Yarrowia lipolytica: one gene and its partner. The protein of the gene in region 2 interacts with the protein of the main gene of each other region in a biochemical or structural test. Links are inferred from orthologs where the notes say so. Each region holds a gene or a part of one and is shown on either strand. Other genes may lie near its edges. The genes, in order: YALI1_E39306g and YALI1_E34708g.

The links.
Region 1: the proteins of YALI1_E34708g (region 2) and YALI1_E39306g form a complex in vitro, tested with the Saccharomyces cerevisiae proteins (2 studies listed by BioGRID). The link is inferred for Yarrowia lipolytica from reciprocal best matches to the Saccharomyces cerevisiae genes VPS45 and TLG2.

The regions. Positions count from the first base shown.
Region 1 is NC_090774.1:3,928,703-3,932,335, reverse strand, and holds YALI1_E39306g (uncharacterized protein), read right to left. Parts: upstream 1,669-3,633; coding exon 556-1,668; downstream 1-555. Other genes in the region: YALI1_E39333g (uncharacterized protein), read left to right, coding at 1-489; YALI1_E39295g (uncharacterized protein), read left to right, coding at 2,789-3,633. UniProt on the Saccharomyces cerevisiae protein: t-SNARE that functions in transport from the endosome to the late Golgi and on the endocytic pathway.
Region 2 is NC_090774.1:3,468,554-3,472,816, forward strand, and holds YALI1_E34708g (uncharacterized protein), read right to left. Parts: upstream 2,310-4,263; coding exon 570-2,309; downstream 1-569. Other genes in the region: YALI1_E34686g (uncharacterized protein), read right to left, coding at 1-73; YALI1_E34711g (uncharacterized protein), read left to right, coding at 2,565-4,263. UniProt on the Saccharomyces cerevisiae protein: Essential for vacuolar protein sorting. Function in membrane traffic between the Golgi and the vacuole.

The DNA of each region.
Region 1 (3,633 bases), about 460 kb from region 2:
TTTGAGGAGGCTGCTCCTGCCATGATCAAGGCTATCGTTCGATGTACCAAGAACGAAGTTACAGCTAAGGGACCTGAGCAGGATGATATTTTTGTTCGATTCGAGGTTACCCGGCCACACCACCAGGCTATGGCTAACATGTTTTCACTTGCACGACTTCTAAGACATTCCGAGAACTCTTCTTTTCCCCAGAAAGCCATTGAGACTGCATTGGTCCAGTGTGCCAAGGAGGGCAACATTGCGGGACTTAACAAGGTCCTCTCGTGGACTGACCAGATCAGCAAGCGTGCCACTGAGAGAGTGCTGGCATTGTTTCCCTACGCCCATGGCATGGCCGAAGAGCCTCTGACCCCTAGTATTGGCATCTCCAGCATGTTCCAGGAGACATCCTATGTTGGTCATGTGAAATTCCTGGAGTCCCTTAAGAAGAAGACCGAGGCCAAGGAGCTTATCTCTGAGATTGACGAGAAGCTCGAATCCATTGACTAATTTCTACAAGTGTAATTCTGACTACTGTAATCAATGCATGTAAATAGTATTATAAATATGTCATAGTCATAACAGGGCGTGAGAAACGACGGGTCTAGAATCTGCACCATCATCTTGGGGATTTTGAGAACCCTTCTCGGGCTCGTCTACAGGTCTATCATTATTGTTGTTCTTGTTGTCGCCTCCAGTAGCAGGCTTGTCATTAGCTGGAGGGGCTGGGGCCGGTTTGCCAGCCACAGGCTCCACGTAGACAGTATGGGATCTTGGTTTGGCAATTACCACGATCAAGAGACCCACAACCACAAGTGTAAGAAGCAGAATGATCTTGCACTTGTTGGATCGCTTCTGATACACCGCTCCCTGGACCAACTCCTTATCTGCCTGTTTCACGTTAACAGCCATGTTTTCAATGTTGTAATCGATTCGATCCAGCAGGGTTCCCTGGTCAATGACCATAGTCTGCAGGTCTTTGAAGATCTCTGCCAGCTCGATGATACCCTCTGCAATCTGCGCAATCTCCCGTTCTCGTTGTCGGATATGATGGTTCTGGGTGCTCTGGTCGTCCTCTTCAATGAGCTGTTGAGATTGCTGAAGTGCCTTCTGCGACAAGGAAACATCTTCGTCGTGGGTGTTACTGGAAGTGGTCGACTGGAAAATGGGGTCCATGCTGCCCTCGTTTCGTTTGAGAGCCTTGAGATAATTACTCTGCAGTTTTCGGAACACTGTGGACGCATCCTGAATCTTGGTGGCAAGGGCGATTTTGGCGTTCATTTGCATCTTGTCCTGGACAGGATCGCCGGATTGTCGGTCCAGCTTCTTCAGCATGCCCTGGCAGTGGTGCAGGTCCTGGGTGATGTCGTAGGTGATATCTGAGATGAGCTTTTCTTCACCACTTCGGTCATCGAAGCCAGGGAGCGAGTTTTTCCGGTGGAGAACCTCCAGTCGATTGACCTTGACCTTGATTTCGCTCAAAATGCCGTGGACGTCGTCTGAGATGGTTTTGGCCAGTGAGTTGCCCATATGGGCAAGCTCAATCTCATCGGCTCCACCGGTGTTGTCTGAGTTGGCGATTAGTCCCTGTTCCTCCTCATCGGACGCATGTGTTGCTAGAAGCTGTCGGGTCGACCTCGGGAACGATTGCCGATAGGAAATATACAGGTTTGTTCTGTCTCGAAACATGTGCCTTTGCCTTGCCTTTTGCAATGTGGTGATATGCTTGTCCTGACGTGGAGCTTGATATTACACTATAGGTTATGAGATGCGTCAGATGTGTCCATTTTTCAGAGATTGGGAGATGACCATTTTGGGGGCTACGAACACGACCCTGTTCTTGGAATTGGATTTCGAGGTATATAAGGGGCTCAAATGACGCCCTCAAGTCTCACCATTATTTTGTGATCACTCATCTTTTAATTCGCACATCACCTACGTCATTAAACTCACCATGCAGCGGTTCCAGTACCGATTCGGCAACCACTCGGCCGTTGACAGGCACACACTGTGCAGAGGCGCGGACTGAAAAGGTTGCGATTCCGACATTGGCCTGTACAGCATGCCGTTTGGCCGTTGAGTGAGTCAGATAGCGCGAGAAGATAGAGCGGCAGGTGTTTTAGACTAGACGTGTCCAGACAGGGGAAACTACGGGTATTGTAGCCTCCCACTATCTATGCTAGCTTGCATGTTTAGAGGCCTTGAAGCGGCTACCGGAGTATATATACGACAACAATCGCGGGCGGGTGAAATAGCACACATGCTCGCTTGTGGGCTTGGCTTGGCTCTCTCTTTTAATTTCTCGTCTCACCATGTGCAACCCACGCTCGGATTTTTCGCACATTGGATGTTTCCCCGAGCTTCTTTAGTTTGATAGCACATGAGGAAACAAGAGGCTAAAAAGCAACAAGGATGTGTTGCACCATGAAGCGAGAGCAGAGGTGCCGTATATTAGACAGGGTATGTGGCTGGTGGTGGCTAAACCAAATGACAGTGCTCATAAGGGATAACACGCGAAAAACATGTCCAAACAATTGCAAAAATAATGGCAGACGCACAACTGTTGTACGGTTGACGTGGCCATATTGAAGCGGTACTCCATTGACGTACCTACCCCGTTCCCTCCGCACACCTTCCACTGACTACAAGTAGCTACAGTTAGTCCCACTGAACCTGCATGACATAACAGTTGGTACAGTTTTTTGCGGTTAGAGTTTCTGAGCTCTCCCCCATTATATAAAAAGTGTTGCGACTACTTCGATCCAAGGCCATCTCCAGATCCGCCTTTTTCCACACACGAACAGCAATCATGACCGAGCTCACTCACCCTTCCATCGTCGACGGCTGGTTCCGAGAAATCAGTGACACCATGTGGCCTGGCCAGGCCATGGCCCTGCGTGTCAACCAGATTCTCCACGTTGAGAAGTCCAAGTACCAGGACGTTCTGGTTTTCGAGTCCACCGACTACGGCAACGTTCTCGTCCTTGACGGAGCCATCCAGGCCACCGAGCGAGACGAGTACGCCTACCAGGAGATGATTGCGCATCTTGCTCTCAACTCCCACCCCAACCCCAAGAAGGTGCTTGTTATTGGAGGTGGTGACGGTGGTGTCCTGCGAGAGATTGTCAAGCACGACTGTGTCGAGGAGGCTGTCCTCTGTGACATTGATGAGGCCGTGCCCCGTGTTTCCAAGCAGTACCTCCCCACCATGTCTGTCGGATTCAACCACCCCAAGACCAAGGTCCACATTGGTGACGGCTTCAAGTTCCTCCAGGAGTACCAGAACACCTTCGATGTCATCATCACCGACTCCTCCGACCCCGAGGGTCCCGCCGCCTCTCTCTTCCAGAAGCCCTACTTTGAGCTCCTCTCCGGTGCTCTGACCGAGAAGGGTGTTATCACCACTCAGGGAGAGTCCATCTGGCTGCACATGAAGATCATTAAGGAGCTGCGACAGGCTTGCAAGCAGGTCTTCCCCTCCGCCGACTACGCTTACTGCACCATCCCCACCTACCCCTCCGGCCAGATTGGTTTCATGGTCTGCTCCAAGGACAAGGACGCCAACCTCCGAAAGCCCCTTCGATCCGTCTCTCCCGAGGAGGAGTCCAAGCTCTACCGATACTACAACAAGGACATCCACTCTGCTTCCTTCGT
Region 2 (4,263 bases):
CGGCAAGGGTGGTGGCCTTAGATGCTGCGCCAACAGAGACAAGAGTGGTGAGAATGATTCCAGAAAGCTGCATAGTCAAAAGTGAGAGAGTAGATGTTTTGTCTGAGAGTGAGTCATTGCCAAAGGGGCCTATATATACATGCTTATCGTCAGAGGTTTATCGTCAGAGAGAGTGTTCGTTTTCCAAAGGTGGTAGCGATGGTACCCTGGACTTGCCACAAGAGGTATCAATGTTTCACCAGTGTTCCAAAAGCGACAGCTCGAGAGGTGGTTGAAATTGCTCTCATTCAGTTTTTGGTATCGCTGGCTGGAATCAGTTATGTTGCCCCTGACATGTTGTTCGTATATATCTGGCAGTTCAAATATAGAAAGTGTAGAAGGAAACAATGCACTGTTGACGTGCAGGGGGTTAGTCTACGCAGCAACTACGACAACCTTTATTGTCGGCTTTTATGTCCGCATGAGGTAGCTTGTACAACTCATCTCCAATCTGCTATGTAACCTCACCAATTTTGACCCAGGCACTCAATGCCTAAAGTGCACCATCATCAATCATAAAATAATATAAATTATATCAGCTGCCTAAGTCGGGTTTCGGGGTCTGCGCCACGCAAGAGTCCTCTGTGGTTCTGGTCCAAACACTCCTGAATAAACTCGCCAGAGTTGACAATGGAAGTGCCCCCAAGAACAATACGGACAGACGACTGGGAATTAATTTCGGCAATAAGACGAGCCTCCTCATACGTGACTCCGCCGACAATGAAAACCACTACCTCCTGCACGTCATCCTCATAGACTCCATTATTGGAAACTGGGCCCCGGCCTGCTCCCCGTACATAGGGGTGTGTAGCCTCACGCAGCTTGTTCTTGACAAGATTGGTCAAGGTTTTCTCTAACAAGGGCCGATGTTGAGTGTACACGTTCTGAATACCCTTAAGACCCATGATGTTTCCCTTGGCCTTGGCGATGAAACCTTCTTCAAAGAGAGCCTCTTGTCTCTGGGCGAGGCATGCGAAATTAATGACTGCCTGAGCCGCCTGCACTGCGTCTTGTCCCTCATACTGTCCTAGCATCTCACACAGGAGCTTGAGAGAGTTGTTGTCCTTTTGCTCGTATCGCAGACCGTAAAGAGCAACCAGGCGCACTTTGTTCTCCATGGAGATGGAGGGCGCTGCGATTATTTGCTGAATCTGTTTGAGAGAGTCATTGTGGGAGTCGGAGCACACAAGGGTTTGTTCCAATTCGGAGACGTCCAGATGCTGGCCTTTCTCGACAATTCGAGAGAGCTCTCCCACAAGAGTAACGTGTTTGGAAACGTTACCTGAGAGTCGTCGGAACTCGGGGTACTCCTCCACAAATCGCTTCATGTCGGCGATACTTTCAATGTCCATGTTTGATTGTGTCTTAGACTGATAGTGCGACACATAATCCTTGATGGATTGGCCCAGGTCTCCGAAGTTATGGTACATGTTGTCAGCGAAGAAAGGATCATCATTTTGAGAAAGAACAATTTCTTTGAGCTCGTCTCGAATCTCAGGCGTGTTACGGAGATCCACTCGGTTGTTATCGATACCGATGAATTCGTGGACCATGGCTTGGTAACTCCAGGGCGTCAATAGAGGCGTGAGGGGATCGTTCTTTCTGTCCAGAATAAGCAGGACGGGCGCCGAGTCCCTGGGAGTTTTGAAGTTGAACAGGTTCTCTTCCTGCTTGATGCCGTAGGCCAGTTCTTCGGCAAGTTTTCGAGCCATATTGGAATTGGCGTCGTATCGGATCTGAGGTCGCAGTTTGAGACCCAGCAGCACAGCCTGCAATGACTCTGTGCATCTGTTGAGACATTCGGGGTTCCACCCTCCGTCGGAGTAGATGGAGAGCGAGTTTCTGGTGAGAGAAAAGTTGAAGAGATCCTTGTTAACGGCCAGGAAGTCAGCAAAGCTCTCCTGCACCTTTTTGACCACCTCATAGTCGTCACTTTCAGCCAGTCGTTCCAGCTGCGACTTTTTGACCACGTTGGAGAAGTAGAGCTCGTAAGAGGCATATCGAGGGTTCCGCAGCTCTTCACACAGCTTGGCAATGGAGTCGTTGCTGGGCCGGATAAACACAATGCACGCCAAATGTCGTTGTTTCTCTCGATTGGGGTTGTCGATTCGGTCTATCAGGTAGACTTCATTTTGAAGTAGAGACGATTGGGTTGTGCACATGGAAACTATAGGGGTAGTTTCCCCGTCTAGCAGCAACACCTTGAGCTTGCCAGACTTGTCCCCGACCATTGTGGTAATGTATTCCTTACCAGTTTCCGTGACGTTCATTTTCTGTCGGTTGCTCGTTCACCGTCTGGAAAGAGATACTATCTAGCAGGTGTGATAGCGGTGGCCTTATGCAGGTCAGACATGGTGGATTAGGGTAGGTGGTGTCAGTCTACGAAGTCGGAGCCAACGCAGATAAAGAGCGAAGCCATTTGAAGTGGGGACTGGAATGGCATATATAGGACATAAAAACATGACTGAATAGAAGGCAAGGGTAAAACTATGGGATGTAGATATAAATATATACATAATAGTTAGATGAGCCCGATTACTCAAATTGCAGTTTTCTTTCCAGGCGTTGCAACGAGTGCCTACAGTATATCTGGTTCTGCTTACGTGAGCCTCATGTACTCCATGATGCGCGGCATCGAAAAGCCTCGACAACCCCACGATAAAGTCGCAACAGCAAAAACCAGGCCCATGGTAGTCAAAAAACAACACGTGGCATCGAGCAAGCATCGAACTGCCTCGGCCCGCAACCTCACCAAAATGCGCGGCTCTTCCACCCATCTCTCGGGGCTCCAAAAGGAGGGGAGCGGCGATAGTCTCACTAAGCGCAAGGCTCGATCGTCAGACTCGCTTCAACGGCTAGCACGACCAAATCTCAGCATGACCCGAACCAACTCCGGCAACAGCAATAAGCAGGATACCTCCGCCAGTAGCGACAAGCTCAATCACAACGAGACATCTCCCAAGCCTGCCTCATCAAAAGAGGCCAACGACAAGGAGAACGAGGAGCAACAGAAGTCCAAGGAGCAGGACAAACCCGTGCATTTGCGGCAGGGCGGCAAGGTCGTCATCGGACTTCCTGTGAGCGACGATGAGGGCTCTGAGGAAGAGGACGAGGAGGAGGTTGACGAGGATAACGGGGATAACGGAGTTGCAGCCAATGGGTTAACAAGAGACATTTCCCGTTTGGCTATCGGAACAGAGATCAATGAACAGGAGCAGGCCGACGCAAACCAGCAGAATGGGGTCTACGCAAACGACATACCCGGAGAGGTGGCTGACACGGAGTCGAAGACCATGGCTGAAGGAGAGGAGGCCGTGGTGGCCATGCAGGAAAAGATGGCAGGAGAGCCAGAGGTTCGCAGGACCAGCAACAACATCCACAAGGAGAAACATGTACTGATCGACGAGAATGGAGGACATGTGGAGCACCATGAGCATGCCCAGCCTGGATCTGCTGATTCTCCCGTGAGCCCCAAGAGCGCGCCTGGCATCACCAACAAGAGACTTGGTAAGTCTGTCGAGAAAGATGGCCCCAGAGACCCCGAAAGTAGCCAGGAGAATATCTGCGAGGTGTACGACGAGTCAGAGTTCCCCGACTCCCCTGAGCTCAAGAATGTCAGTGACTCCTGTAATCCCTCGAGGGCAAATTCCAGAAACCCTTCTCGAAATCCTTCAAGGAACCCATCGTTCGAGGGACTGGGTCTGCTTAGGAGCCTTGGACCTCTCTCTAACAACAAAATGACCCCTGCATCTAGAAACTCGTCCTATGACTCGCTTAGGTTAAGTCAGCAGGCCACCGAGAAGGCTCCTACTCTCGAGCTCTCTAGCCACCACGTGCTGAGTAATCCTGACGGCTCATCGGGTCACACCCTGGGAAGTAATACCGTGGTCACTAGCGAATCGCCACAGAAAACCCCCAACTCCACTCCTCGCAAAGAACAGCGAAGTCGAACACAGCAGAAGCTGTGGCTTCAGAGAGAGAACGCTATCGACGAGCACGGATCTCCACGATTACCTGCTACTGAGATGCCGGATCAACTGGCCAATGGCAAGGCTGAGTACCAGGTTATCGATAAGCAGTACAAGAGCGTGAGAACCTTTTACAATCCAATTCTGGAGGGTCTTCAACGACATGAAATTTGCCGGTGGTACGAGAATGGAAAAGTGGTGAATCCCAAGCGGAGAGAGGTGCAACAACGTCAGCTGCAGAAGGACCTCCAGGCCC